Coturnix japonica: one gene and its partners. The protein of the gene in region 1 purifies or fractionates together with the protein of each later gene. This does not show direct contact. Links are inferred from orthologs where the notes say so. Each region holds a gene or a part of one and is shown in the gene's direction. Other genes may lie near its edges. The genes, in order: MPHOSPH6, ZFC3H1, C1D, EXOSC2, EXOSC9, EXOSC3 and EXOSC7.

Evidence for each region.
Region 2: the proteins of MPHOSPH6 (region 1) and ZFC3H1 purify together in Homo sapiens (affinity purification with mass spectrometry; 3 studies listed by BioGRID and IntAct, with this or other methods). This does not show direct contact. The link is inferred for Coturnix japonica from reciprocal best matches to the Homo sapiens genes MPHOSPH6 and ZFC3H1.
Region 3: the proteins of MPHOSPH6 (region 1) and C1D purify together in Homo sapiens (co-immunoprecipitation; 3 studies listed by BioGRID and IntAct, counting the BioPlex papers as one, with this or other methods). This does not show direct contact. The link is inferred for Coturnix japonica from reciprocal best matches to the Homo sapiens genes MPHOSPH6 and C1D.
Region 4: the proteins of MPHOSPH6 (region 1) and EXOSC2 purify together in Homo sapiens (affinity purification with mass spectrometry; 8 studies listed by BioGRID and IntAct, with this or other methods). This does not show direct contact. The link is inferred for Coturnix japonica from reciprocal best matches to the Homo sapiens genes MPHOSPH6 and EXOSC2.
Region 5: the proteins of MPHOSPH6 (region 1) and EXOSC9 purify together in Homo sapiens (affinity purification with mass spectrometry; 5 studies listed by BioGRID and IntAct, with this or other methods). This does not show direct contact. The link is inferred for Coturnix japonica from reciprocal best matches to the Homo sapiens genes MPHOSPH6 and EXOSC9.
Region 6: the proteins of MPHOSPH6 (region 1) and EXOSC3 purify together in Homo sapiens (affinity purification with mass spectrometry; 6 studies listed by BioGRID and IntAct, counting the BioPlex papers as one, with this or other methods). This does not show direct contact. The link is inferred for Coturnix japonica from reciprocal best matches to the Homo sapiens genes MPHOSPH6 and EXOSC3.
Region 7: the proteins of MPHOSPH6 (region 1) and EXOSC7 purify together in Homo sapiens (affinity purification with mass spectrometry; 4 studies listed by BioGRID and IntAct, counting the BioPlex papers as one, with this or other methods). This does not show direct contact. The link is inferred for Coturnix japonica from reciprocal best matches to the Homo sapiens genes MPHOSPH6 and EXOSC7.

Annotation. Positions count from the first base shown.
Region 1 is NC_029526.1:14,002,535-14,006,738, reverse strand, and holds the end of MPHOSPH6 (M-phase phosphoprotein 6), read left to right. Parts: intron 1-1,180; coding exon 1,181-1,271; intron 1,272-2,243; coding exon 2,244-2,341; intron 2,342-2,777; coding exon 2,778-2,919; 3' UTR 2,920-3,704; downstream 3,705-4,204. UniProt on the Homo sapiens protein: RNA-binding protein that associates with the RNA exosome complex. Involved in the 3'-processing of the 7S pre-RNA to the mature 5.8S rRNA and play a role in recruiting the RNA exosome complex to pre-rRNA; this function may include C1D.
Region 2 is NC_029516.1:32,989,952-32,993,886, reverse strand, and holds the start of ZFC3H1 (zinc finger C3H1 domain-containing protein), read left to right. Parts: upstream 1-1,135; 5' UTR 1,136-1,239; coding exon 1,240-1,822; intron 1,823-3,935. UniProt on the Homo sapiens protein: Subunit of the trimeric poly(A) tail exosome targeting (PAXT) complex, a complex that directs a subset of long and polyadenylated poly(A) RNAs for exosomal degradation. The RNA exosome is fundamental for the degradation of RNA in eukaryotic nuclei.
Region 3 is NC_029518.1:378,284-382,290, forward strand, and holds the start of C1D (nuclear nucleic acid-binding protein C1D), read left to right. Parts: upstream 1-1,207; 5' UTR 1,208-1,387; intron 1,388-2,866; 5' UTR 2,867-2,936; intron 2,937-3,643; exon of another isoform or gene 3,644-3,646; 5' UTR 3,647-3,719; coding exon 3,720-3,726; intron 3,727-4,007. UniProt on the Homo sapiens protein: Plays a role in the recruitment of the RNA exosome complex to pre-rRNA to mediate the 3'-5' end processing of the 5.8S rRNA; this function may include MPHOSPH6.
Region 4 is NC_029532.1:4,558,166-4,562,297, forward strand, and holds the start of EXOSC2 (exosome complex component RRP4), read left to right. Parts: upstream 1-1,332; 5' UTR 1,333-1,371; coding exon 1,372-1,496; intron 1,497-1,569; coding exon 1,570-1,671; intron 1,672-1,849; coding exon 1,850-1,895; intron 1,896-3,037; coding exon 3,038-3,127; intron 3,128-3,331; coding exon 3,332-3,397; intron 3,398-3,546; coding exon 3,547-3,615; intron 3,616-4,132. UniProt on the Homo sapiens protein: Non-catalytic component of the RNA exosome complex which has 3'->5' exoribonuclease activity and participates in a multitude of cellular RNA processing and degradation events.
Region 5 is NC_029519.1:48,282,512-48,286,586, reverse strand, and holds the start of EXOSC9 (exosome complex component RRP45), read left to right. Parts: upstream 1-1,275; 5' UTR 1,276-1,345; coding exon 1,346-1,411; intron 1,412-1,552; coding exon 1,553-1,647; intron 1,648-1,861; coding exon 1,862-1,981; intron 1,982-2,205; coding exon 2,206-2,308; intron 2,309-2,685; coding exon 2,686-2,823; intron 2,824-2,995; coding exon 2,996-3,078; intron 3,079-3,313; coding exon 3,314-3,446; intron 3,447-3,543; coding exon 3,544-3,632; intron 3,633-3,815; coding exon 3,816-3,962; intron 3,963-4,075. UniProt on the Homo sapiens protein: Non-catalytic component of the RNA exosome complex which has 3'->5' exoribonuclease activity and participates in a multitude of cellular RNA processing and degradation events.
Region 6 is NC_029521.1:3,509,690-3,513,857, reverse strand, and holds the start of EXOSC3 (exosome complex component RRP40), read left to right. Parts: upstream 1-1,368; 5' UTR 1,369-1,399; coding exon 1,400-1,675; intron 1,676-1,748; coding exon 1,749-1,898; intron 1,899-2,842; coding exon 2,843-2,994; intron 2,995-4,168. Other genes in the region: DYDC1 (DPY30 domain-containing protein 1), read right to left, coding at 56-127, 669-791, 904-1,050. UniProt on the Homo sapiens protein: Non-catalytic component of the RNA exosome complex which has 3'->5' exoribonuclease activity and participates in a multitude of cellular RNA processing and degradation events.
Region 7 is NC_029517.1:39,619,642-39,623,807, reverse strand, and holds the start of EXOSC7 (exosome complex component RRP42), read left to right. Parts: upstream 1-1,366; 5' UTR 1,367-1,442; coding exon 1,443-1,499; intron 1,500-1,601; coding exon 1,602-1,703; intron 1,704-3,888; coding exon 3,889-3,983; intron 3,984-4,166. UniProt on the Homo sapiens protein: Non-catalytic component of the RNA exosome complex which has 3'->5' exoribonuclease activity and participates in a multitude of cellular RNA processing and degradation events.

The DNA of each region.
Region 1 (4,204 bases):
CATGTGGTTGGGTCCATTCAGGACAGTTCCATCATCTTGAGCACAGATCGCTTCAAATCCTGCTTTTGAAAAAGGAGGGAGAATGGATGAAGCAAAAATAAAGGAGGGCTTAGCTAATAGGGAAGCGAATGTCCGTTCCTGCTGAATAGAAAAGGTGCTTTAAGTAGCAAGGGAACTACTTTGAAAATACTTCTGTCCTTTAAAAAGAGAACAAAATTCTTCTATAGGAAAACATATAATTTATAAAAAGCTGTGGTCCAGGGAATTAACTGTAACTGAATCAGGACATTTATAATCTATTGTCCGTGGCTGTTAACGTGTATGACAGAGAGGTATCTGAGCTTTAGCTGCACCAAGGAAGGTTCAGGTTGGATATTGAATCTCTAACAATGAGGCTATTGGAAAAGATGGTCTAAAGGAGATGGGATTCTTCATCTCTGGAAGCCTTTTGAGGACAGGTCAGATAGACCTCTGCTGTTTGTGGTACATGTTTAGTTAATCCTGCCTTGAGGTAGGCAAATGAGTTTGGTCCCTTCAGCATGATTTCCTGTAGTTTGAGGGAAGGGATGAAGAGATTGAGGGAAGGGATGCATATGTGTGAGAGGAAAAGAATGGAACGGTTCAAAAAGTACTTTTATCCAACGTATTTATTATGGATGGTTTGGGATCATGTTTCTTTTCTTTCCAGGGTCATTAAAGGAGGGGGAAAAAGGAAGGGGAATGGGAAAATTTTTCTCTGCTGAACAGAGAATTACACATTTATATCCTGATAGACTCAAATAATACCAGATCTAACATCACAATGAAAAATTCATTAGAAGCTTTTGCTGGTATAGTAATGCCACCTGGAGAGTGATATTTATGTGGTATTTTTATTCTGGCAAAAGCATTAATGTAGGTGGAATCATACCAGCAAAGAGTGCTTTCTGTCAGGAGAGTTAATTTTGCTTGTGGAACTGGCACAGCTTTACTGGCAAACAGTATTCCTTTGCACTCCAAGCTCTTTGTATTGAAAGATTTATCAGAGCAATTAATCTTCAGAAAGTAGTTGATGGTATAAAATACACTGCAGTTTTGTTTATTTGTGTGGGGGAAGACAGCAAATGCTTTTTGCATTTGTTTAATTTGATTATATTAAAGCACACTGTTTGACAACTGCTGCGTTTGGGCTTTCATGCAGGAGCTATATAATAGAAGAGAGGAGCTTTATGCCATGTGAGGATCTACTTTATGGCAGAATGTCCTTCAAAGGATTCAATCCGGAAATTGAGGTACTATTTAATTGTCTTTTAAAGATTGAAGCTCTCAGCAATGAGGACTTTGGTGTTCACACTCCATACTGTTTAGCCTTTGCAGCACCATCCTTATATAGGAAAACTGATTTTGGCCAAAATGCTGATCAGTGCAGCATCTGAGAAACAGACGCCACTTACCTCCTTGTGTTGGTGGTTAGTAAGTATGTGACTCCTGCAGATTTTCCTTCCTTGACCTCAGGAGACTTCCATGTGCTGCTCACTAGAAAGATAGCTCACTGTTCCTGCTGCTGTTTAATTCAGAGCCCGGTCTTATGAACATTCAACCCTGTTTATTCATCACTTGTATAAGTAAGAACTTGAGGTTCCAAAGTAAAAATTCTGGGCAAAGAGGGTCTTTCATTTCTTTCCAGCATGATTCATGCTGATAGAACTAGTGCATACTGAAATAGTAATAAGTGTTGCGGCTGAACTGAAACAAGAAGATGAAAGTACAAAACCAGAGGCACACAGAAGGCTGTTCAAGGTTATTTAATGGGGCATTCCTTCAGTTATTTTGAACTTGCTTTCACTGTGACCAGGCCTATCATTGCTTTACGGTTTTTACTGGTAGTTTATTGTAGATCTTTGCAGATATTTTTCCACTGTAACAAAACTATTTCAAAGACTGGCATCGCAATGAAAAAAATTAGTATCTAAATCTCTGGTCTCCTGAAGATACCTGCCATGTTGTTGAGGATGCTTGAATAGTACAGCTCACTGAAAGAAAAACTGTCTCTGTGTTGCCTCTATTCTCAAAACCAAATCAAACTCAGCATAGCAACAAGGCACTTGTTTTAGAAGCCTAAACAAGGTACTGCAAATGAAGGAAAGCAGTATTGAAACTGATTCCTGCCTTTTATGCATTCTTCCTGGCAGTGACACTATTTCAGCGTAGCTGACATTTTGTCAGGGTTACATGTTTAAGCTGTTTCTTGCTTCGTTTTTCAGAAATTAATGGTCCAAATGAACTCTAAGAGCAAGAAAGAAGAAATTGAGGAGGATGGTAAAATGGAGGCTGATGTGTCTGATGAAGAAATGGCCAGAAGGTATGTTATTCCTTATCAGTACTGATTATGTCATAAAATATGTCCTGTGTTACAGCATTATATATGGGAGGAGAAACAAAAAGCAAACAAAGAAAAACAGTGTTTGATACTTCATAGAACTGATTATTCAAGAATTCTGGTGTTTGTTCAGTAAGATCTCCATAACTTTCAGGGTTAAAAAAAACTTGTAGCTGTTGTCTGCCTTTTGACGTCCATGTATTCTATGCTAATTCCCTCTTAGCTCCAGATTGCTAAAAATCCTAAATGATCAAAGTGAATAATAATAATAATCTGTGATCACGTCGCACTTGTGCTTCTCAAACTTACAGTGACAGGCTTGTTACAATAGTTACATTGCTGATTGCATTTATGATTTCCTGCATTGAACTTCTCTCTGATTTTAGTAAGAACCGTTGTTTTTTAATTATGTTTACAGGTATGAAACACTGGTGGGAACAATAGGGAAGAAATTCATGAGAAAAAGAGACCAGCGTGTTCTCCAAGATGAAGATGAAGAGAAGAATAGTAACACGAGACCTAAGAAAGCCAGGAAAATGTTCTTAAAACCTCAGGATTAATGTCAGCTGCACAACTGGAGCTAACAGAAATGTTGCCTACCAAATATAGCACCAAGAACTGAAGATTGTTTGGAGTTTTTGCTGTTTTATATAAAGGGTAGAATTGTTAATCTCAGTCTGTTCTTGTTGAAATTTCTGCTGTCCACATAACAAGCATTTTTTGAAGTGGATGTGTATATAATGGATGTCATACATCCTTCCCTCTCTAAGCAGCTTTTGACGTGTGGGATATTAAGCCCATCAGCTGTTTTTAATGTTGTGCATAACTAGGATGAGTGTCAACGTGCAATCAATAGCAACAGTATATATGTTTTACGATAACATCTAAAGTAAGTATTTGCAGTAAAGATGAGCTTTGTCCAATCCAATGAGGCAGTCCAGCTTTTGCTGCTATTTTTATTATTATGAAAATGAAAAAAACACTCAGCAGAAACATAGTTTTTTTTTAACTGCTTGACAAATAAGCTGGGAAAAGAACAGAGACAAAATCCTTTTTTTTTTTTTTTCAATTTTATTTTTTTTATAAAGCATATTATATTTAAAAATAGGAGTTTAGAGCAAAGCTTTTCCTCCAGCGAGGCGAATATTGGGCAACGTTTCCAGTTTGACACTTGAGCAGATTGTGAGCCTTTAATTTCTGTCTTCCAAAAGAAGTTTGCTAATCTTGTCTCTTTTTTCCAACCAAAAAATTCTGAACTTATAATTATCTTGGTCTGAACATAGAAGCATAATAACAGCTTCGGAAACATGTTTGGAGAGCTAATAAAAACTGATTTTTGTTGGTCTTTTTTGGTGGTGGTTAATCATTGTGGTTTAACTAATTTAATGTTTAAAAAAAAAAAACAATTATGCTTAATTCAGTCGGATAGAAGAAATGATCCTGTTTTGTGCTGGCTGTGGATGGCCTGAATATATTGGTTGTCTGAGCTTTTTTTCTGTACAGCGTGCAACAAAAGCATCTGAAGCAACTCTGGGACCCAAACGTCACTGCCTTTAGTCAGTGCTGTGGGAAACTGAGAAAGGTCAGTGTGGTTCTGTCTAAAATTGCAGCAGGTCAATGCATTATAGCTTTCAAATCAAAGTCATTTCTTTCTATTACTTTATTTCCTCATCTAGATGTCTCAATTACTCATCCTAATGGTAAATTTCTGGAGAAAGCTACAATTTAACACATTCTTCAAGCAGTGACCATCCCAGCATGGACCTGAGGGTTCTTTTTTTCCTTTTTTTTTTTTTTTTTTTTTTTAAATAAGACATGAAACTCAATTATATGAAGAAAGTCTCA
Region 2 (3,935 bases), on another chromosome or scaffold:
ATGCTTTTTTGTCTGTGTCTAGAGATGCAGAAAATATGCAGGAAATATGGTAAAGGCAAAATCAAATTCCATGTTCTTTATTAAGACATATGCTTTCTGATATTTTAAATTGTTCCATCTGAATGTATTGAGAATACGTTCAGCATTTAAAATAAAAATGGTGCTCCAGCAGCTATGTTATATATCCTTTGAATGTATGAAGTCAAATATATCAAAGAGAATTTATTTGTTTTGGATTTCATCTTATGTTTACAAACTGCAAAAAACCTCACAGAATTTCTCCATTTGTTACCTATGGGATAAATGTGGAAGATCCTTCATGTTTTATTCCAGAAAGGCAGTTTTCAAATGTTTGTGTGCTCTTGTATATAATATGTAGGTCCTGAATATATCAGATCATAGAATCGGTTGGAAAAGACCTAAAAGATCATCCAGTCCAACCATTCACCTATTACCAATAGCTCAATAGATCAACACATTCTTTTTCCTCGTGCCACTTTATTCCCTTTATAGTAGAGAACATTATCAGTTAATCAGTTTATTAAATAGTGAAGAATACAGTGGAAGGATCATCTTCTTTCTGGAAATTCAGAAATCAAATTGCCTGCCTCATAACCCTATAATGGAGGAAAAAGAAGAGAATATCATATAAATGAAATGATGTGCCATACAGATTCCATGACTCTGAATTTCTAATAAGCCACTTCACTGGGAGAGCATGTACTTCTAGTCATGTATTTGACTTATAGTGTATATGTATATGACTATATAGTCATGACTTATAGTCATGACAGTCCCGTTGGCTCAAAAGAGATGCAAAGGGCCTTGAGCACATAGTTTTGGGCATCGAGTCTTCTTCAAGATTCAAAAGCGAATAAATAATGACCACACACACACCACTCTTTCACCACTTTACTTCTCCAAGGAGCCCGCTTCCCCTCAACAAGATGGCGGCCCCTCCACCAACATGGCGGCTCGACTTTCTATTGGCGCCCGCACACCCCGCCGCCACGCTGGGAACTACGCTACCCAGAATGCCCCAAGTTTGGAGAAGCCGTCTCCAACCCTCGCGTTCTTTGCGTCGTTGCGTAACAGGGCAGCGGGGGGGCAGGGCGTGGTCTCGCGAGAGTTCCTCGCGGGTCGGGGCTGCGCTGGGTGGGCGGCTGTGTTGGGGGGAGGCGTGGGGCCGCCTTGCGCACGGAGCGAAACCGGCTGCGCCTCGCCGACACTTTGGGCTCCATGGCGGCCGCGGAGGCCGCACCCGCAGAGGCAGCGCTGGATTCTAGCGGGCTTTCCCCTAAAGAAGAAGGGGAGCTGGAAGACGGTGAGATCAGCGACGATGACAACAACGGCTCCGGGCCGTGCGGCGGCGGCTCCGAGCCCGGCGGTGTCGTGGCGGGCAATAGGCCGTACTCGAGGCGCAGGCCGCCTCCCGGCCTCCGCGGCGGCATCTCCCTCTCGTCCTCTCGGCGCTTCCCTCGGTCCCGGCACCAGCCCCCGCCCGAGATGGGCCATTTACACGGCCACGGCGGTTACCGGCCCAAGGACTCGTTCCGCTCACACCCGCCTCCTCTGCCCGCTCCTCGGATGCCGTCTGGCCCGCACTCGGACACGGGCCCCCGGCTCTCCTTCTGGGAGCGCAGCCACAACGCCCTGGACCGATTCCGTTTCCGAGGCCGGCCCTACAGGGGCGGATGGCGCTGGGGTAGGAGCCGGGGCGGTGGCGAACGGGGCGGTAACCCGCCGGGAAGGCCGCCCGGAGGGGGAAACTGCGCTGGATTCAGCGGCGGCCAGGGCTGGAGGGAGCCCTCGCCTCGGAAATGTATCCTTTTATAGCAGGGGGACGGTGGACAGCACTGCCGGGTGGTGCTACGTGGCCCAGGCGCTGGGTGGGTCGCGGCTCATTAGGCTCTGCCTCTCGTAGTGGGAGGCTGGGACGGCGCTGCAGCCTGCCCTGCCCGATCAGGGATAGAGAAAAACATAGCCTGAAACAAAGCCTTGTTCTGTTGGATTTTAGGTGCTGCTGAAGTGAGCCTCGAGAAGCGGCGTCGGTGCGACACTATGTGATTGAAGTGTCCTAGTTGTAACAAACGCTAAGCTGGTTAATTTTCCTTATTGGGCAATGAAGGATCTGTTCTTCTTTCATTTTCACTTATCACAGAATCACAGAATTGTAGGGGTTGGAAGGGACCTCTAGAGATCATCGAGTCCAACCCCCTTGCCAAAGCAGGCTCCCTTATAGCTCTAACAAGGTTATGTGTAGCCAAAGCCAACATCAATTTAAATGTCACTTGGGCCTCTGTGCACGGAATGTGCATTACATGGGAGTCTGGGTAACGTGGAATGCCCCGTTTCTATGTAAAGCCACACCCAGTGTTTCTTGAAGATGTTCTCTACCAGTTGCTCCCGGATAAGTTTTGTGAGGTCATTTTAATCAGTTTTAACGTTTTCTCCCATTAAGAGCAGAAATAGCAAAACCAGTGGAAAAAGCTCTTCACGTTTTCTAGAGCTATTAACTGTAGGAAAAAACAATTTTGATAGCAGCTGTAACTTTGGGGCAGCCTGGCACTGCGACTTAATACAGCTGCATAGTTACCTGAGAACACAGATATTAAAAACAAACAAACCACCCAACAAAACTTGGGTGAAAGAATTAGTGGTTAAAAGTTGCTTTCAAGAATCTTACGCTGCTTTTTTGTCCACTGTGGCCATAGTCAAAGGCTGCAACTTGTTTTTTGGTTGAGCTGCTCATCTCCAAGAATAGGGTTTATTTTCCCTACTTGTGCTAGGACATAAGGCTTCGAAAGCTGCTCATTGGGTCCCTGTGCTACTTTAGAGCCAAGATTATGTATCTGTGTCAGCTGTTCTTTTTTGGTATGCAGAGGGAATATGTAAATTACTGGTAAAGAGCTGTTCCTAATCTCATCTCGTGATGTTAAGAGCGTTCCTTAAGTCTTGGTAACTCTTCCTTCAAGGATTGTTTCTTATCTTGGAGGCAGGGAATGAAGATGTGATCTGCCCAAGGTTGCACAGCGCGCCAGTGCTGAAAATAGATGATATTTGCAGTGTTACTCAAAGTACCAGAAAATAGTTACTTTCTGTGTAATGTGTAATTTGCAGGGCAGGTGTGTGTTAGTCATTCTCAGCTGACCTTACAGTGCTTGATGCAGATACAGTCTTCTTGGACACTTTAAGAGACCATTCAGAAACTGATAATTCAGTTTTCAAACAAAATGAGCAAATGAAGGAAGCATTTTATCACTATTATTACGATGCAGTCTCTGTTTAAGTATTTTAGATGATTTTCTAATGCCCCTTAAGTCACATTTGGTTCTAGTGGGTTAGTTAAGGAAGATTCGTGATTTTCTCTCTAAAATATAAATGCTGTATTTTTCATGTCTTTGCTGTTTATATGAATTGGTTTTACAGTATCCCTGCATATAGAAGTACTTCCATATTGCTGACGTGAGTGGAGGAGGTTTCCAATTAGCAAGTAATTTCAGAAGAAACCTTCACACGGACTGTACAGGGAGGTTCAGTGCATGGGGTGATATTTGGAATTTCACAGGGCAAGTGAGAAACGTGAAGGTCTGCTAACAAGCAGTGGCTTTTTTTCTTTACCCATATAACCATTACTTTGTGTGCACTCTGTAGGAGCAGAAATGTAAATGGATAGGAGTAAATCAGCTACAGTTAAAGAGTTATTTTTTATTTTTCTTTCAATATTAGCTTTTAATAGGTCTTTCTAATTCCTAGCTACTTTAGTGTGGAGCTGTTGAATGGGCCTTCTGGAGAAATTCTTACATAGAGGATTGCGGAGTTCTGGGTCTGAAACAAGGGGCCACAGTGTGACTTAGTTTACTGTTGAATTCTGACCTCACAATTTTTTTATCTCATCAGTCGGTCTCTTTTTGGTTGTAGTTTGTAGGTTCTTC
Region 3 (4,007 bases), on another chromosome or scaffold:
GCCACAATACAGTGTCCTGTTGAAGTGGGTGAATTATCACCTGTTGCCTATTTTTTCCAGAGTTCAGCTATGATATGTCCTCTGTTTATTAATAAAGGCTTTTTTCCTCCTCTTCATTTTTTGTTACCTTCTGTGGAAGCTTTCTGAGTGTTTAGTGAGTATTTTGAGCCTGCGGTGCCATAAAGCCTCAGGTCCCCAGGCAGCCCTGCCACAACAATGAAAAATAACAATAAATTATAAGAACAGTTAATAAAATCAGTTCATTTGCATCTCATGCTAAACCTTTCATCTTCTGAGTCATCAATCTTCCCACAGAGCTGACAGAATTTCTGCTTCATGTTCCTTAGAGCTGTAGCACAAGCAGGCAGGATGGCAGACCCTTTCTGCTGCCTTGCAGACCTGTGGCATCTTCATATCCACCAGTGTTTTCTCTTCCTGACATTCCCATTCTTTTTCTCCCACATCCCGGGAGAATGTATAGCAAACCTAAGAGCAGCTGCATGGGATGAGACCCCTTCCAGCCCCCTTCCCTGCCTCTTTGGGGGATGTGTGCAGGTAAATAAATCTCTCCTCTAAATTGGATGTATTTGCATCCAGCAAATATAGTTTCATATGTAAAGTAACCAGATACAGCATCCAGCACTTCACCACATCCTGTCATTTAATCTAGCTGGCATGGACACAAGCTCTTTTGATCTTTATTATCTCCCTATCTGTTACGTTAAAAAAGCTTTAATCAAAGAGTTTAAGCCGGTTTTATTGAATTACATTATTTTCCTCCCCAAAACAGTTACATCAAGCTCTTTCCTTCTTTCCATATACTTTCACATCTGTATTTTGATTAGAAATGTTTCCAAAAGGGAAAAGAGCCTCTGCTCAGTAAGTTTAAAGCCATTCTAATTTAATTTGAATGCAGGAAAAAAAAAAAAAAGAAAAGAAAAGAAAAACATTTCCAGAGCTTTTTATCTGCAAGGTGCATCTAAGTTCACCTGGGCATAGGGTGCAGTGTAAACCATTGCCAAATCACAACTTAACAATTAATCAAACCCAATCTACGGGCTGACCAGAGGTCCCACAACACTTCTCAGTTTAGCTTCAAAATAGAGTAGCTTTACGCTTACAGAATCCTTCAGTTTTCATGTAAATATAATGGTTCCACTGTGGTAACATCCCCCTTCCCGCCCTTCCCCCGACGTGACGCCATCACTGCGCGCCTTGGCAGGCCCCGCCTCTCGTCGCTTTTCGTCTCGGTGGTGGTGGGGCTGAGCAGGGAGGAATCGGGGCCTTCTTCCCTTCGGTATAAGCGTCGTCACATCGCTCAGTGTGATCTGAGGGCTTTCGGAGCCGCCTGGAGCTGCTGTTTGGGAACGAGGGCCTGTAACGTTTGGTGCGTCCTCCCGGCTTCGTGTGTCTGTGACTGAGGAGATGCGGAGGTGACAGGCTGAGAGCTGGGGCTGTGCAGCCTGGAAAAGAGAAGGCTCTGAGGAGACCCCAGAGCAGGCTTTCGATATCTGAATGGGGGGCTGTAAGAAGGAAGGGGACAGAATTTAGCAGGGTCTGTTCTGACAGGACAAGAAGAAATGGTTTCACATTAATGAGGGTAGATTTAGATGCATGAGCATGTCGCAATAACAGGTGTTCTGGATGTACACAAAGACAGCTGGTTTTATCATTGTCCTTGCTGATGGGAGTACTGACAGGATTGAGCAGAACAAGAGACACTGTATATTGGATTTGTTCAGCAAAGGAAACGACTTTGTTATCGGCTCTGGAATCTGTCACTGCTGATGATGCTGCACAGAGAATCAAAGTGTTTTGGGAATCATAGGGATCGAGTTGGTTTCCGCCTATGTAGATAGGGTAGAAGTGAATAAGGGCCAGGGTGAGGTACTTGATTCCTCACCATATCCCTGTGGGCTGAAACGTGAGCGAGCCTTAAAAATCTTATTCCCTTCCTTTGAATTTTGATCTTCATTTAAGACAGAGTAAAATAAACTTTGTAGATCCTCTGGGGCTGCTGAGTTTAAATCTCAGTGGCATCAGCGAGAACCTGGTGGCTGCTAACTGTATTGCAGGGCTTTTCTGTGCAGGTTTGAATACTGCCAGGAGCTTAGCTTTGAAGTCAAAGTTAAAAGTGAGTGCTTGGCTGTTACCTATTTATAATACAGTGCAAAGGATAACTACCGTGTCTTGAGCTGGGATGTTTTTAATGGGATCAAGAGAAGCCTGCTGCTGTGTATTTGGTATTTCATGATAGGCTTAATTGCTTTTGCAAACAAGACTGTGGGTTGGTGTTTGAAGAGCTCTGTAATTGCTGTTAGTAGATGTGCCTTGAAAAACCAGCTCTATGGACACAGTGATAAGTAGCAAGTAACTAATTATTCGTTATGTACTGAGCAGTCTCTGCCATGGATGGGAGCCTTTGGTACTTACAGCTTTGCAAATATGGGATTAAATGGATATCTCTGTCCAAAATAAAGTGGATTTCTTTGCCCAAAAGAGGTGTGTAATTAAAAAGCTTTGTCGTGGTTTTTAGTAGCTTTAAATTTAAGATATTTGTTCCGTGTTGCTCCGTTGCTGTACAGGTACAGCGGTGAATTAATGTTGGAGCAGAACAGACATCTGCCATGCATCACCTACAGTCACTACAGGTTCTGATTCAGCATTGAAATAGGGAGGACAGTGCCAAATTTTAGATGCTGGCAGAGACGGTTTCTTGTACCGCCATTGTTAATGCATTTGATTGGAATCTGAAAGCAGTTTACACACCCCAACTGACAGTGTTTGCGTTTCTTTTGGTTTTCTATACATAATCTATAGCTATCAATGAAAAGCAGGAAATCTCATCTGTTTTTTTTTTTGTTAGGTGAATCATCTGGAAGAAAAAGATCTGAGCTCAGTTGGAAAAAAAAACAACCTTCTAGTGCTTAAAAAAGGTGAGAACTAGCAGGAAGTGCTAAGTGAGATGCAATATTAAACACAGCGCTGGATACACTTGTTACAAACTATTTCAAGGAAATACTTTTTAATCCTGAAAGAGCTATTTTAATTCTGGGTGAAGAATCACGTGTGATGCTGAACATACTTTAATTCTGTCTTGGAAGGGTTCATGTTGCCGTGTTGATATATACCTGTAGCTTCTGTTACTTTATGCTTCTTAAGCAAAATCATTATGCACCCACAGACTAATTAGAGTTTGTTTTTCAATGTAAGAGGGACAGATTTGATGTCCAGGTTTTGTCCACAGATTGCATGTTCAGCATTATGTTATTACTTGCTAATGAAGATACGTTCTTATCCTTATTTTCCCCAGTGCTCACATTTGATCAGCAAATATGTTCTTATCTTCAAGTATCTGAATATGTGTATTATTCCTATGTTTAAGTTGGATCTCTGTGGCAAATAAAATACAGCAGAAAGTCATCAACTCCAACAAAAGCAATCTGTGTAGTGAACATCCACTCCTGGAACTGAATTTCTGCTCGTTCAAAATACATAGGGAAACACTTGCAGAACTTTGAGGAAATCTTGCTTGTGGTTTAATAAATGAAACGTAACTATTGAGGGCAGTGTAACCTTTAGGCATATTTACAGAGTCACTGATACGCTCTCAGTTCCTCCCATCCTTGCCTTTGTCATTCAGCAGGTGTGACCGTGCGCTGTTTGTGTTGGTTTTGGCAGGAACAGTTCTGTGGAGCTTCCGCTGTACATGTTTTCTAATGCAGCGTAAGTTTGTTCTCGTTGATTTAATACTATTGAAGCTATTGTAGGCTGTTGACTGCTGCCTTCTTGTTGGCATGTGCCAACAGTGTAACATATCCTGCTTGGAGATTAGCAATGCTGAAACAACAGTCTAATGAAAAGAGAGAGGGGCCCTGCACAGCAGGAGGAGGAACTTGCTCTGGTTCCTGCTGAACTGCAAACATGAGTTTGACACATTTCTCCCTCCTTCCTTGGCACAAGGAGCAGACTTAGGCTGAGCGTCCTACCCTTCACTGCTTGTGTAC
Region 4 (4,132 bases), on another chromosome or scaffold:
TCGCTGCCCACGTGCAAAGACTGGCATTGAGATGTGTGAGGAACTGGGAGCCCGTGGCAGAGCCGCTGCTCTGAGTTTGCATTGGGAGCATCAGCGTTTCCATAGGGTTTGGTGGGAAAGGGAGAATGGGAGGGCACGGCAGGACATCCCGTGTGGATTTTGCTGGTGTGTTCGGAGCTGCGGCTGCACCTGGATGAATCAAGGTTGGGTTTTATGGATCATTTGATAGGAAGGAAAATTGCTTTTGTCCTTTCTCCTCTGTGCCAGCGAGCGCCCAGCAAGGAGACGTGGCACAGCATCACTGGGACCATCAGCTTTGTCTGTTCAGCCGAGTTGGGTTTTCCTCCCTCTATCCCCAGCTGTGCCATGGGGTTTGTCTACATGCCACCAAGGGATGGGAGGCTGAGATGGGCTGTGAGACCCCCGAGGTCAGGCTGCCCGGGGCTCTGAGCACTGTGTGTGTAGGGAGTTGGACCAGGCGGCCTTTAGGAGGGGTTTGAGGGGGGTCCCTTCCAACTTGGACCATGCAATGACGGCCCAGCAGCTGCTCAGCCCCATCCAGCCCTAAGGGAGCGCTCAGCTCTGCTGCCCTCTGGGGACCGCACAGCCCGGAGCGGCTGTTCCCATTAACTTGGAAGGTTGTTGTGTTCATCCTAAATCCGAGGTGTATAAAAGCTCTCATAAAAATAAAAACACTGCGTTTTACTGCCAGAAAAGGGAAAAAAAGAAAAACCCAAGAAGGAAAATATATAATAACCCGTCACTTTAACTTTGTAAATATTTATGTAAAACATTATTTACAAGCCTTTGATATTCTATATTATGGGATTGTATACGCACAGCGCTGTAAATACATTTGTACCTCTCTCTTGTACTCGAAATAAAAAGCGATTCGGGACCGAGCGTGGTTTAAATTGGGGGGAGGGGGGGGCTGTGGGTCCAACCCCATTAATGGGTGCTGGGACCCATAGGGAGCACTCAGCCCCATAGGGATGGATGGGACCCATAGGGATGGATGGGACCCATAGGGATGTATGGGACCCATAGGGGGGCACTCAGCGCCATAGGGAAGGCTGGGACCCATAGGGGGGCACTCAGCCCCATAGGGATGGATGGGACCCATAGGGGAGCACTCAGCCCCATAGGGATGGCTGGGACCCATAGGGGAGCACTCAGCCCCATAGGGATGGATGAGACCCATAGGGGAGCACCCCCTGCCCCATTCACATCGCTGCCCCCCCCCAACCTCCCTGCCAGGAACCAAAATGGCCGCCCTGTACCCAACCCACGTGACTCTCGTTACGGCCCTCATTCAAGATGGCGTCCGGAAGTCACGTGTAACCGCAAGGCGCAGTTCCGCCTTCAACCAAGATGGCGGCGGTGTCCATGCGGCTGCCCGTGATCCGTAAAGCCGTGGGGCCCAGCCGGCCTCGGGGCGGCGAGAAACACCTGGTTGTACCCGGAGACACCATCACTACGGACACGGGATACATGAGGTGGGGATGGAGGAGCATTAGGGGACGGGGCAGGCCGCGGTTTGGGCTCTAATGGCGTCCGTTCTGTCTGCAGGGGACACGGCACCTATGTGGATGAGGAGAAGCTCGTCGCCTCGGTGGCTGGAGCTGTGGAGAGGGTGAATAAATTGGTGTGTGTGACACCGCTACAGAGCAGGTGAATATAGGGACGGGATGTGCAATGGGATGGGTAATAATGGTGTGTAATGTGTGTTAATGCTGTGTAATAATGCTGTGTAATGTGTGTTAATGCTGTGTAATAATGCTGTGTAATAATGGTGTGTAATAATGCTGTGTTAATGCTGTGTTAATGCTGTGCTCTGTCCCACCGCCAGGTACAACGGGGAGGTCGGAGACATCGTGGTCGGGAGGATCACGGAGGTGAGGAGCTGGGAGGACACGGGAGAACGTGATGAGGTCTGACAAAGAAAGAGTGAGATGCTGGAGCACAGAGAGCACTGTGCCATGCAGAGCTGCAGGAGGGCGTTGGTGGCAACCGTAGTGCCCATCCGGATCCATTGTAATGAGCTGCCGTCCAGTGCGCCCATAGGGGGAACAGGGACCCCACACTAAAGGGGGGGACACATAGGGATGGATGGGATCTATAGGGATGGATGGGATCTATAGGGGATGGATGGGACACATAGGGATGGATGGGACACATAGGGGAGTACTCAGCCACATAGGGATGGCTGGCGCCCATAGGGATGGCTGGGACCCATAGGGGAGCACTCAGCCCCATAGGGATGGCTGGGACCCATAGGGGAGCACTCAGCCCCATAGGGATGGCTGGGACCCATAGGGTTGGATGCATGCAGTGCAAGCTGTGGGACAGGGAGGTGGGCATGTCCTCGTGTGAGGCCCCATCTGTAGCACTGTGTCCTGGTGGGGCATCCTCGGTGCAGGATGGACATGGATCTGTTGGAGCACATCCACAGGATGACCGTAAAAGTGATCCGAGGGATGGAACAGCTCCCTGCGGGGACAGGCTGAGAGCTGGGGCTGTGCAGCATGGAGAGGAGATGGCGCTGGAGAGAGCTGAGAGCAGCCTGTCATTATCTAAAGTATCTTTCTGTAAGGAAGAAGGGGACTGACTTCTTAGCAGGGTCTGTTGTGATAGGACAAGGGGAAATGGTTTCAGTCTCAACAGGAGAGATTTACATTCAATATAAGGAGGATGTCTTTTACAATAAGGGCAATGAGGCGCTGGCACAAGTTACTCAGGGTGGTTGTGGTTGCCTCACCCCCACAGACATTCAGGATCAGAGCTGGACGGGGCTCTGTGCACCTGAGGGACCTGCAGGTGTCCCTGTTCATTACTGGGAGTTGTACCAGGTGGCTTTTAATGCTCTTTTCCAACTGAAATGATTCCTTCTCTGACAGCCTCTGCTGCACTGGCCGGTCATTTCTTATGGCTGTCACAGTGCTTTGCTATAGAGTCAGTCATCTGCATGACTTCCCACTTAGATTAGAGACTTAGTTCATTTTCTGAGTGTACATTAACGTTGTTTTTTCTTCACCAGGTTCAACAGAAACGATGGAAAGTGGAAACCAATTCCAGGCTGGATTCAGTCCTGTTGTTGTCGTCTATGAATTTACCTGGTGGGGAACTGGTGAGCACAGTTTGTGCAGAGAAGGACCACAGTGCTGCAGGGCAGGATGCTCTGAGCCCCTCCTGCAGTTAGCACACGTGTGGTTTTGACTTCCCATGCATTTTGCACAGTGTCCTAAGGAGATGATCCTCTCTTTGTGTTGCTGTTAATTAATGTTTTCTCATTCTACGTGACCCATAACTTTTCTTGCATTGTCCATTTTAGAGGAGGAGATCAGCAGAAGATGAGCTTGCAATGAGGGACTATCTGCAGGAAGGGGATCTCATCAGTGTATCCTTTCACTGCTTGTACTTGGACAGAAGAGTCAAAGGGATTGGAAGGGGGAACAGCCAGACCTCAGGCAGGCAGGGAAAGCTCTGTTGGTGGCTGTTGGTACAGGGCAGCATGAAGAAGTCTGTTTCCTTAAGAGGCACTGACAGGCAGAGGTCCAGTCTGTGTTTTCAGATGGGGCTGTATCACTGCACACCAGGAGTCTGAAATATGGGAAGGTATGTTGTTCAAAAGTCTCATTTTGTGCTGGTTGGATTGTATGAGTCTCTAACCCTTGTGCTTAGTGGTCTGTTAGAGGGTCAGATCTTGTTAAATACAGTGCAGTTCTATCCATGTCAGTAGAATTTCTTTGTATTTATATCGAGATAGCATCAGGATAGAGGTTTGGGGGGAGATCCTTAAGGAATAAAAGGCTCTGCAGTAGAGTATGATATTATAGCCCTTGTCAGTAGGTTAGGAAGAATTTTAGCTCCTACATGGGAGCTCAAAGCAGAGTTCCTCATTGCACACATTCCCTCTGAACTGCTGCTGTCCCTCTCCACAGTTACTGCATGAATCCATTTCTCCCACCAGTTGCTTGGGACTTGAGCTCTGGGAAGAAAAATCTTCTATCTCAAACTTTATCGCTCTTCTTCTGCAGGTCATTGTCCCCATGGCTTGCTGCTCACTCCAGGGCTCTATTTTAGGCTTTATGCAGTTGGCATTTATCTCTGTTTTTGCACATTGAAATAAGCC
Region 5 (4,075 bases), on another chromosome or scaffold:
TGGATGACTTGTTGAGCAATGCATCCATTTCCAGATTTCAATTCTTTTTCACTGGTAGACAATATAATGTTTTTTGTAAGAGTATTAGAGAGATGGTAAGCATTATCTTCCCTTGCAAATGCAGCAGTTATAACAAAACAGTGCTAGTGAACGAGATCCAAGTAGAACTGATTAATTTATCCTTCCCAAGATAAGCAGCATGCTGAATCAATAACAGTGACAGCTAAGATACCCAAGGAAGCCCTGATACTTCCTGCTAAATATCTGAACTGCTGCATTAGTCATGCACAGAATGTCCATTTAAGCATGAAATTCAGCTCTCTCTCTTCTTGCACAGAAGCTACGAGAATTAAACTGCACTGAAAAATGCTTAAGCTTAATTGCTTGCCTGCTGTGGTCGACCTCAATGCAAACGCTGCAGGTCCAGTTTTCACACCTGGAGCACAAATACCAGTGATTCCAAATACAGTTGGCAGTAAGTCATTGTACTTTCCAACCCTCTCCTCCCCTCCCCCCAAAAAAGAGAAAAATAGAAAAAAGGAAAAGGGAGGTGGTGGGGAAAAATAAACAAACCAAAAAAACAAAGGGACAAGGGGGAATGGTTTTAAACTGAGACGGGAGGTTTAGGTTAGATATTAGGAGGAAGTTTTTCACACAGAGGGTGGTGACGCACTGGAACAGGTTGCCCAAGGAGGTTGTAGATGCCCCATCCCTGCAGGCATTCAAGGCCAGGCTGGATGTGGCTCTGGGCAGCCTGGTCTGCTGGTTGGTGACCCTGCACATAGCAGGGGGTTGAAATTCGATGATCACTGCGGTCCTTTTCAACCCAGGCCACTCTATGATTCAGTGAAAAGGTGGAAAGAAATAGCAAGATAAGTTGATTTAATGTGGGCTGGTTCAATAACAGTGAAGATTTCTCATTGAAGAGAAGTGTTTACTTCTACTGTCAGGCAAAATGACATTGAAAGGCTCTACAGAGGGATCTGGATAGGCTGAATCAGTGGGCTGAGACCAACTGTATGAGCTTCAACAAGACCAAGTCCTGAGTTTCAGGAAGGGAGGTCACGGTGAGGTGAAGTCGGCCTCTTCTGGGTCACAGTGACAGGACAAGAAGGAATGCCGTCAAGTTGCACCAAGGGAGGTGTAGGCTGGGTATTAGGGAAGAAGGAATTCCTCTCACAAAGAGCACTAGGCGCCTGCACCGAAGAATCGCGTCCGCCCACCGCCAGGGGGCCCCATTCAGCAGCTCCGCCGGCCGCGCTCTGTGGTGAGGCGGCTGGAGCGGCCGCCGCGTGTTGATGACGTCCCGCAGCCGAGCTCACGCCGTCCGTTTGTGGGGTCTGCCATGAAGGAGACGCCGCTGTCCAACTGCGAGCGGCGCTTCCTGCTGCGCGCCATCCAGGAGAGGAAGGTGCGGTGCCGGACCGGCCTCCCCGTACCCTGCCCCGTACCCTGCCCCGGGCCCTTGTCGCCTCAGCTGCGGGGCGGCGCGGCCCGGCGTGGTGCGCTGACCGCCCCGTGTGTGTGTGTGTGTGTGTGTCTGTCCCCGCAGCGGCTGGACGGGCGGCAGTGCTACGACTACCGCAATGTGCGCATCTCCTTCGGGCCCGAGCGCGGCTGCTGCGTGGTGGAGCTGGGCAAGACCAGGTAGGAGCGGCCGGGGGTCTCCGGGCTGGGACACACACAGCTCTATGCGCATTCACCGCCCTCAGGGTGAAGGAAAGGAAACTTGAGCTGAACAACGAGAAATGTGTTAGAAAACATCCACATGGGTCTTTGTTTTTTCTTTATATGTTTTGTTTCCATCGTTAGGTATTTTCTTGCTAAGCTTTCTGACCTAGCTGCTTATTTCCTTCTGCAGGGTCCTTGGGCAAGTCTCATGTGAACTCGTTCCCCCGAAGCCAAACCGGGCTACAGAAGGGATTCTGTTCTGTAACCTGGAGCTCTCACCCATGGCTGCACCTGGCTTTGAGCCTGGCAGGTACGTCGCTTTCTTAAGAAGTCCAGGCAAGGATAATGGTGCAAGTGGTAGAAGTGCCGCTCTGCTACACAGAGGCTCGAATCCCAGGGGTTGGACTTGATGATCTCTAAGGTCCCTTCCAACCCGCACGAGACTGATACTGTGATAATGTATGAACCACTGCTTGGACACGCACAAGTATGTACCATAATGATGTTGAATTTGGGTTGATTTTGTTTGAACAGGCAATCCGAGTTACTGGTCAAAGTGAACAGACTGATAGAACGATGCCTGAGGAATTCCAAGTGTATAGATACAGAATCCCTCTGCGTTGTTGCTGGTGAAAAGGTAGGAGAAAACTACCAGTCTCAAACCATTGCATAGAATCACTGAGCTTGGAGAAGACCTCCAAGATAATCCACTCCAACCATCCACATAGCACCAATATTTCCCCACTTAAGCCACGTCCCTTAGTTATACATCTAAATATTTCTCGAATTCAATCACATATAAACATGTTTAATGATTTTAAACATAAAAGTCACTTTTTCAGGTGCTCTGTCTTGTTTTGAATACTGGTCTTTTTTCATCCTAACTCTTAAATCAAATACTCGAGGAATGTAAGCTGCTCTTTTTTGTGATTCAAAAACTGGAAGTGTCTTGGAAAAGCAGGAGCTTCTGTGGAATTATGTTACACATTGCCAGTTATACATGTTTTCCCTCAGGTCTGGCAAATCCGTGTGGATCTGCACCTGTTAAATCACGATGGTAACATTATAGATGCTGCCAGCATAGCAGGAATCGTGGCCCTATGCCATTTTCGCAGACCAGATGTTTCTGTGCAAGGAAAAGAAATAACGGTGGTAAGTCATACCAGGTTTACCTCCATAAGTCGTAAATGGGAAGTATTATACAAGGAGAACCAAAAGAGATTTTTTATTAATATTTAGTTGACTAGACTTTTTTTCTTTGCTTTCTGTTTCTTTACATTGCTCTTGCACAATGTAAGTAACCAATAACCAATTCTTTTCTCAGTACTCTCCTGAGGAACGTGATCCTGTGCCCCTGAGCATCCACCACATGCCTATTTGTGTCAGTTTTGCCTTCTTCCAGCAGGGGTAAGAATTCTTCTTAAAGCTCTTGACAGAAACAGCTTATTGTCAGTTGTGCAAAATTATTGTTACAGCACTGTGAAAATACTCTTGTTGACAGACAGCTTTCTTAACACGTTCATACGTGTTCTCCACAGTGTGATAGTAGCCAGCAGCTTGCACAGATAGGAAGAAAACTGTTACAAGGGAGTCAAAGTCAACCTCAAACTTCTGTTGTCTTATGTTAAAAACTTGGTTCTAGGACGTATTTGTTGGTGGATCCAAATGAACGAGAGGAACGTGTGATGGATGGTCTCCTTGTAATTGCCATGAATAAACATCAGGAAATTTGTACCATCCAGTCTAGTGGAGGGATTATGCTATTAAAGGATCAGGTAAAAGTCAAGGAAAACATTTAAGGATCTGTTCTGTGGTTCTATTTTAAGTCATGTTTTCATGATTCTAAACTGTTACCGTGTATGTAACGTACAGGTTCTGAGATGCAGTAAAATAACAGCTGTGAAGGTTGCGGAAATAACAGAATTAATTCAGAAAGCTTTGGAGAACGACCAGAAAGTGAGGTGAGTTTTTGGGGAAGGAATGGAAAGTACTTTGAAGAACTGATTGAAAAGTTAATGCCAGTTTATAATGAAACAGCAGGTTGTTTCTGTTTGTAATCATTTCAAGTATTACAAGTATGGAAATGCTTGCTATATTCATATATGTGAAATATCCTGAAATAACGTCTGTTGTTGGATGACTAGGAAAGAAGGTGGGAAGTTCGGCTTTGCAGAATCGATATCAAATCAGAAGATCACTGCCTTCAAAATGGACAGTGCTGCTGTAGATACCAACAATGTGGAAGAACAAGCAGAAGAAATCATAACTAAAGCTGACCCTCCTTCAGAAGTGTATGTTTTCTATTCGTTATTCCAGGGGGGAGTTTTCCTCTTATCTGCACTGGCCCTTCTAGAAGCTAGTAAGACACTCAAGCTATCAGATGGCTCCGGGTGGCCCTATAGCC
Region 6 (4,168 bases), on another chromosome or scaffold:
AATAAGAGAGATGATTAACAATATTTCTTTATCTTGACTAAGCTTTGGCTTAAACCTCTGGATCTTTCTGCTGCTCCTGCATGTTCTCTTCTTTATTCTGCTGTTCCATCTTCTCACGTTCTTGTTCCTATTGTAAAGAGAAGACAGCTGAAGATAGCGTATATGCTTTTGATACTCAGTTCCTCGTGCTCTTTAGTAGTTAATATTTATATCTCCTATACTTTGGATTAGGCTCTTTGAAGCTTTGCACAGCATCTATTATAGACAGACTAATCCATATAGATTCTATGGGAGGAAAAAATAGCTAAGATAGTTAACTGCAGAAGACAGTCTACTTATCCTAATCTAATTTTCTAACATATCTTTAGTTAGTTTCTCTTTAGCTTAGTCTCTTCATTTTTGGTAACATCTTGTCATGTAGCAGGTAAGTTTTTCTCCCCAGCTGCTCAGCTGTCCTTTCTAATTCCTTTCGAAATAATGATATTTTCAAAACGCAATGTTTAAGCACTTTTTGTTATCTTTTCCCTTTCAAGATCAGAATACAATTGTAGGTACTTTCCAACATTCTGATTCTCTTATGATTCTATGTTGATAATGACTACTATTGTAGTGAGAGCTACAAGTTGACCCAGCATCACACGCTACTATAATTATGAACAACTATTAACCTGCCGTTGTTCTTCAAGTTTCTGTTGTATCAGTAGCTCTTCTTCCTTCATTTTTCTTAACATTTCAAGTTCTTCCAGGGCTGCCTGCCGTTCTTTTTCCAGTTTGGCCCTTTCCAACGTTCTCTATTTCAGAGGTAACAAGAAATCAATGAAAAAAAAAGGAAACAAAACACAAAGAGAGATTATACAGCATCAGTTAGATTGACATGAAATGCTTTGCCCGAGGTAGACCCACCTTCTTTTCTTCTTCTAGTGTTTTCTTGTAGTTGTAGATCCAGTGTGCCAGGTACTCTATTGGGTCAGCGGGCCGACGCTCCACAACCTCCGCCAGACCCTTTTTCAAGCAGCTTCCCAGACATCTCCTCAGGTATTGAGACTCCATTCTCACCTACTGACAAACCGACAGATATTAGTCACCGATATCGGAATTCAGACAGCAGTTAGAGGAAGTGTTGACTGCATCACATCCCCAGTGTGATGTTGGTGGTTTTATCAAAGCTCATTTCATCAGGCAATTAATATGAGAAGGTGGTAGCGGTGCTGTCCCCCGTTCCCTACCGCTTCGCTCCTACCGGCCCGATCGCACAGCGCGTCCAACCGCGTTACCGGGCAACCGCGCTCCCGGCTGGATCCTGCGTCAGGCGGCCGGGCGGTGTCGCTGTCGTTGCGCTCTCGGCCCTTCCATCGCCGCCGCCATTTTGCGTCTGCTTCCGCCGGAAGGGCCGCACGCGATGGCGGGTGGGGGCGGCGTGCCGGCGGAGACCCGTGTGGGACAAGTGGTGCTGCCCGGCGATGTGCTGCTGCTGCCCGAGCACGGAGAGCCCGACCTCGACAAGCTGCCGCTGGGCACCAGCGCGGCCCCGCGGGGGAGGCTGCTGTGCGGGCCGGGGCTGCGGCGCTGTGCGGGCGGGCTGCTGGTCACCAAGTGCGGGCTGCTGCGGCACCGGCAGGCGGGCGGCGGAGCGGCGGCGGGCGGCGCCTACTGGGTGGACTCGCAGCAGAAGCGGGTACGGCGGCAGCGGGCGGCGGGGGGCGGTGATGTGCGGGACGAGCCCGCTGATCGCTTGTACCCGCTTGTAGTACGTGCCGGTGAAGGGAGACCACGTTATCGGCATCGTGACGGGCAAGGTGGGGGACGTGTTCCGGCTGGACGTCGGTGGTAGCGAGCAGGCCTCGCTGTCATACCTGGCCTTCGAGGGCGCGACCAAGAGGAACAGGCCCAACGTGCAGGTAACGCTGCCCGCCGGGAGCTTGCCTTTGTAAACGGTGTTTTTACCACTCGGACCATATAAACGAGGAACGTGACTTTTTTCACAGAGCTTTTGTCATGGCCTGTACGGGGTGTCCCGATGAGGCCGTGAGTTTTTTCTGTTTTCTCCGGAGCTTTTTGTGCTTCTTCACTTCTGACCTTACACCTTTCCCATCGGTTAACAGTGGCAGGTGCTACTCGTGCAGTAACGTGGGTCCCAAGGGGCCACCCTGAGGCTTTAAAGCATCCTCTGAACGCTGGTGCTGGTAGAGGAGGGTTTGCTTTGTAGCATTTACAAGTTGTTTTGTGATATGTGCGTTCACCAGAAACACTGTCAGCATGGTGTAAAATGGGCTGTGATTTTAAATGGAATAGACTGGTATGGCTTCTGGTGCGCCTTCTGAGTAAAGAATTGTTTCCTAACATGTAACCTTTATCTCCCCTCTGTTAATTCAAAGCCATTCCCCCTTGTCCTGTCACTACTAGGCTATATAAAAAGTCACTCCCTATAAGCACTGGAAGGCTTCGATGGGGTCTATCCAGAGCCTTTTCCAGGCTCAACAAGCCTAACTCTCTCAACTTTTCTTCACACAAGAGGCGCTCCGGCCCTCTTCTGACCCATTCCAATGGTCTTGTGTCAGGGGCCACAGGCTTGGACAGAGTACCCCAGGTGGGGCCTCACAATGGCAGAATAAAGGGGTCAGTTACCTCATTCACCCTTCTAGCTATCTTTCTTTGGATCCAGCCTGGGATCCCATTGGCCTTCTGAGCTGCAAGTGTACGCTGCTGGTTCTTGTCCAAGTGTTCATCCAGTTTACAACTGTTTTGTTGTCTCTTTATGGACTGAATGTTTCTTACAAATGTGCATTGTTATCTTCTCTAATGATTCTTTTTTTTTGTTGTTTTCTGGCACTGCTTGCTTTAGGTGGGAGACCTTGTTTATGGTCAGTTCCTTGTAGCAAATAAAGACATGGAACCAGAGATGGTCTGTATAGACAGCAGTGGAAGAGCAAGTGGAATGGGAGTAATTGGACAAGACGGCTTCCTCTTTAAAGTTTCCTTAGGTCTGATAAGAAAGTAAGTACTAAGAAAACCAGTTGTACTAAAGTGTTGGGGTTGTTAAACTTAGCATGTGTCTAAACAACACACAGTCATTAGCTCCTCTCCCTCCAGACCCTGTCCTGCTTTTCCCTATAGGCTTGGGAATAGAATCGATTAAAAAACAGACACAAAGTAGAATTCATGGGTTGAGATAAAACTGTTTACAAAGAGAAAAGAAAACAAGATACTACTTAAGAGAAATACATATATGTGAATGTATATAGGAAGTTACCCACTGACTGATGCCCAGCTAGGCCCCAAGCAGCAGGAGAGAGAGAAAAAAGGACTCATGTCCCATTCAAAACTTTCCTTTTGCGTAATGTTATATGGTATGGAATATCCCTTTGGCCACTTAAAGTCAGCTGTCTTATTTCTATCCCTTCCCAGCTGCTTGGGTGCCCTGCCCTGTGCTTCCGAGATCCTTGTTAGTTCCCCATCCCCCAGTTGGTAGGATGGTAAGAGAGAGTGGGGAAAAATGAAGTATGCTTGGCTCTGTACAGCAGTGTTCAGCAACAGCTGGAAATACAGGTGTATTATCATTGTTTTTCTCCTAAAACCAGAACAGCATCTTAGCAGGCACTGAAGGAGAGACAATTGTGTGCAGCTGAAACTGGAAGAGTAACATTTTGTTTTTAGGTAGGATATGCACAGCTGTCTCCAATTCAAGTAGTGTGAACTAGCCAGTAACTGCTATGTGGCTGTTGTGCTGCATTTATGCCAGTTTTACTGGGGAAAGGATGCATGTACATTGAACTAGAAACAGTGTGTGACTATCATAAAATACCAGCTGATAGTGATAAGAGATGGTCAGACTAGTTGTTGCTTTGATGTTGAGGGAGGAGAGGTGAGCATCTGTTCTTGGAGATAACAAGTAGCTATGTCATACCTGGGTTTAGTAAGTAATTTGGTTTATGTGTCTTATCAGTGTGAACAGCTAAGTTGTTTTTCAGCCTTGTTCTTGGTAACTCTTCTGCCTAATTAGGAAAACAGCTACAGTGCACAGGTGCTCTCTTTAGGTGCATGTGTTTTGGGAGGAGAACTTCAATTCTGATATGGCTGGATATGCAATTTGAATCGTCTTAACTTTTGGAGTTGCTTTTGTAACTCCAGTGCTACTGTTTAGCTGCTGGCTGATAATGTTGTAATACTT
Region 7 (4,166 bases), on another chromosome or scaffold:
TTTACCTCACCCCACCCCACCCGTAGCCCCGCGGTCCCGTGGCTCTGCCCCGCCACCTACCCGCAGGCCGCCGCCCGCCGCCACCTCCCATCCGCCCCGCCGGAGCGGGCGCCCCGCGCGCGGCACTGGGCCCGGCGGAGCGCGGTTCCCCCCCCCTCCCCAAGCGCCGTCCCCTTACGCGATCCCGGCGAGGAGGTGGGGCGGCAACGGAGGAACCAGGAAGTGGCGGCTGGCGGCCGGCGGCCCCGCCCCGGGCCTCGGCACCGCAAAGCCGGGCAGCAGCAGCCGGCACCTGCGGATTTAGCGGCCGCTGCCTGCGCTGCTTGCAGCTTCACCGGGCAGCGTGAGCCCCTGCGTGCCGGGCGGCTCCATCACGGTCTTTTTCCACTTCCAGCTGGCTAAAATGAGGCAGAAGGCATCGCTTTGTCCTTGTTATAAACGACACCGCATCCTGTGAGCAGCGAGGAGCTGCTGGCTGCGCTTCCAGTCTGGGATGGATGGCAGACATGGAGGAAGGAATGAAGGAAGGAAAGCTGCCCCTCCTTGTGTCTGAGCGCTGTGGGTGCAGCTGGGAGCCAGGCAGCACCAGCGCCATAACCTCACAGAATGACCCGGGTTGGAAGGAACCTCAAGGATCATGTAGTTCCAACCCCCCTGCCTGGCAGGGCCACCAAACATACACATTTACTAGATCAGGTTGCCCAGGGCCCCATCCAACCTGGTCTTGAACACCTCCAAGGACGGGGCATCCACAACCTCCCTGGGCAGCCTGTTCCAGGGCCTAACCACTCTCCTGGTGAAGAACTTCCCCCTAACATCCCAAACCTCACTGTGCCCTTAGTGGGCACCACTCAGCGCACCAACCAACATACAGGAGAGCCGTGCTGAGCGTATGGCACCTACAACGTGAGCTAATGGAAGCTGCCACAATAAACACCCCTCAATTACAACGCAGTGTCAAACTGGAGCCTTTAATCGCATTCCCACACCACCAGCACGATGTCTCGGGTAAAACTCCGCATTTCTCCGCGGTCTGACAGCCAGGAGAACCTCAGCTTCATACTCGGGTACCCTCATAGTCTCATAGTCTCGTGTGGGTTGGAAGGGACCTTAGAGATCATCGAGTCCAACCCCCGGGATTCGAGCCTCTCTGTAGCAGAGCGGCACTTGTACCACTTGTGCCACAGGGGGGATTCGAACTCCGGGCCCCAGTGTTGCAAGGCGGCGTTCCTACCACTGCGCCACCGGGGCACACAACCCTCAGGTTACTTTTACCTCAGCTAAGGGCACACACACACACAGGGCCGACCCCACCGCCCTGTACAAGGCGCTGAGGCGACCGGCGCCATTTCCCGCCTGCGGAAGTGCGGCGGTGCGCAGGCGCAGAGCTCGCCTCCTTCCGAGAAGCGGAAGCGGAAGTGCTCTGCAGCGCGCGGGGTGTCATGGCGTCCGTAGTGCTGAGCGACGCGGAGAAGATGTACATCATACACGGCGTCCAGGTAGGGAATAGTTGCTTGTCATCTTTGGTGATGTATTCGGCACGGGAAGCTTGAAAAGCACAGGTTCCTTATGTTCGCGATTACGTTGGTTGTCGTGTTTAGGAGGACCTCCGTGTGGATGGCCGTGGCTGTGAAGATTACAGGTGTGCAGAAGTAGAGACAGATGTGGTGTCCAACACGAGTGGATCTGCGAGAGTGAAGCTGGTAGGTGAACGGCTCAGGAGTCGTCTACATTGCTGATAAAACTGGCTTGTTTCGCTTGGCTTATGATAAATAATTGCTGCTTGTAAATACGTCCATGTGTGTCTCCTCATATGTGTCTAATATGTTGCTCCAAAAACAGCCCCTCCTATTTTATGATGTTGGCCCACAGTATCATAAGCAGATGTTGGTGGTGTGGTAGTAGAGGTTGAACCTTCCCAACAATATTTCATTCTATTGTGTTGCCCTGTGACTGATGACAGCAGATGTGCAGTCTGACAGAATGGTGTCTGACTTGGAAATGCAAAGATGTGGTATTGAATTATGTCGTGTTGAAACGATTGTCCCTGTTGGCATTCATTGTCGCATGCTGAATGCTGATGGAGACCCAACAGCGAACGTGAGCACAGTGAAGCGGGGCCCTGGGCAACCTGATCTAGTGAAGGCGTATGTTTGGTGGCCCTGCTAGGCAGGGGGGTTGGAACTACATGATCCTTGAGGTCCCTTTCAACCCAGGTAATTCTGTGATTCTGTGTGGTGGTGCATTTCACCTTGTGAAATACAAGGCATGTTCTAGATGACCATGCACGGCTGTCATACGATGAAATGAACTGTCTTGATCAGCTCATTTGTGCAAATCAGCAGATTATGACCAGGGAACTGTGTACAGAGCTGAATATCAGCTTCATTGCATTAGAAATGATGGTGACAATGTTGGAATATCAGAAAATGCATGCCAGGTGGCTCCCATAAGTGTTCACAGAGGAGCAGAAAGAATACTGTATATCACACAGTATCACAGTCTGGTGTGGGTTGGAAGGGACCTTAGAGATCATCGAGTCCAACCCCTGGGATTCGAGCCTCCTGTGTAGCAGAGCGGCACTTCTACCACTTGCACGACAGGGGGGATTCAAAGTTATAAGTTTGTCAGGATCTCTTGAACCAATACAAGGCTGAAGGCAACAGTTTCCAGGATCACATCAGTAGTGATGATGAGATGTGGTGTCACCACTACGCACCGGTGAGAAAACGCAGTCCATGGAGTGGTGACATGTGATTCCCTATTGAAGAAAAAGTTCAAGAGATAGCCTTCAGCAGGCAAAGTATTGTGAACTGTCTCTTGGGATAGGAAAGAAGTGATCCTTTTGGATTTCCTGAAACCCAGACAAACCATCAGCTCTGACTGCTACATCATGACACTGACTAAGCTGAAGGCTTGAGCTTCCAGAGTCAGGCAGAGAAGAAGACACCTTTTCTCTTGCAATGCGATAACACCAAGTCCCATACCAGTTTCAGGACCCTGGAGCACGTTGCCAAATTTGTCTGGACTGTCCTACAGCACCCACTGTGTAGTGTGGATTTGGTGCCTTCTGTCTTCCACCTCTTTGGGCTTGATGGAAAATAGACTGCTCAGGCAATGCTTTCCTAGCAGTGGTGCAGTCATAGCTATGAAACAGTGGGTTACCTCTGCTGGTGCAGATTTTTATGAGTGCAGCATGCAGTCTCTTGTTCATCAGTGGTGAAAATGCAGAGTGATGGTGACTATGTTAATAAGGTTTTGTTGCTGAGAATCTGTTCAATCAAATAATGTTATTTTGCTCTTTGCACCTCTTATATTTTCTGTGGAAATAAATAGAAGACGTTACTTTCAGAGCGACCTATGCATGTATGTATGTGCTTAGCTCTAATTGACATGATAGGTTGAGGAAATAATGACAAGATATATGAATAATTCAAGTTAGCTTAATGCATTTGAGCTAAATTTATAGTGGAGTGCCTGAAAGGCCTTCAGTCTGAACTAATCTGCTATTGGGTGTTAGATGCTGTTGTGCCTGTCACTGGAAAAAATAATTCTGCTCCTTTACAGTGAAGCAAAACTACTTCTGGCATGTGTTGACTGTAAAGAAAACAATTATTTTTTGGCGGTATTATAAACATTCTGCAGAAATAACTGATCCAGAACTGCAATGATAAAAAGGTATGGCTATTAAGATTGTCTTATATACACAAAGAAAGCTGATATGTGGGCACAGAATTGTTCTCCTAAAGCCTTTCTGTTCTGCAATTCTCTAGTAGAGCAATTAGCAAAGACAACAGAATAGATGGTAGTGTCTGCATGCTGTAGGCATCTCAACTGAGTGTATTTTGCCCATAGTTCTAACTGTGTGATGTATTTTTGTTTTAACAGGGACACACTGATATCTTGGTTGGTGTAAAAGCTGAAATGGGGACACCGAAGTTAGAGAAACCAGATGAAGGTTATCTGGAATTCTTTGTTGACTGGTTAGTATAGTAGAAGAAAAGGTAATGGAGCAGTATGCATATACACTTTGCTTCTCACATTTGAAATAAAAAACCTAATCAGATCTGAAATGTGAACCTTCACTGCCCTAACCTGCTTAGTGTCTGAGTAACAGCAGCAGTTTATTTTACTGTCTTAGCTGTGCTGAATGTTCAGAAACATCA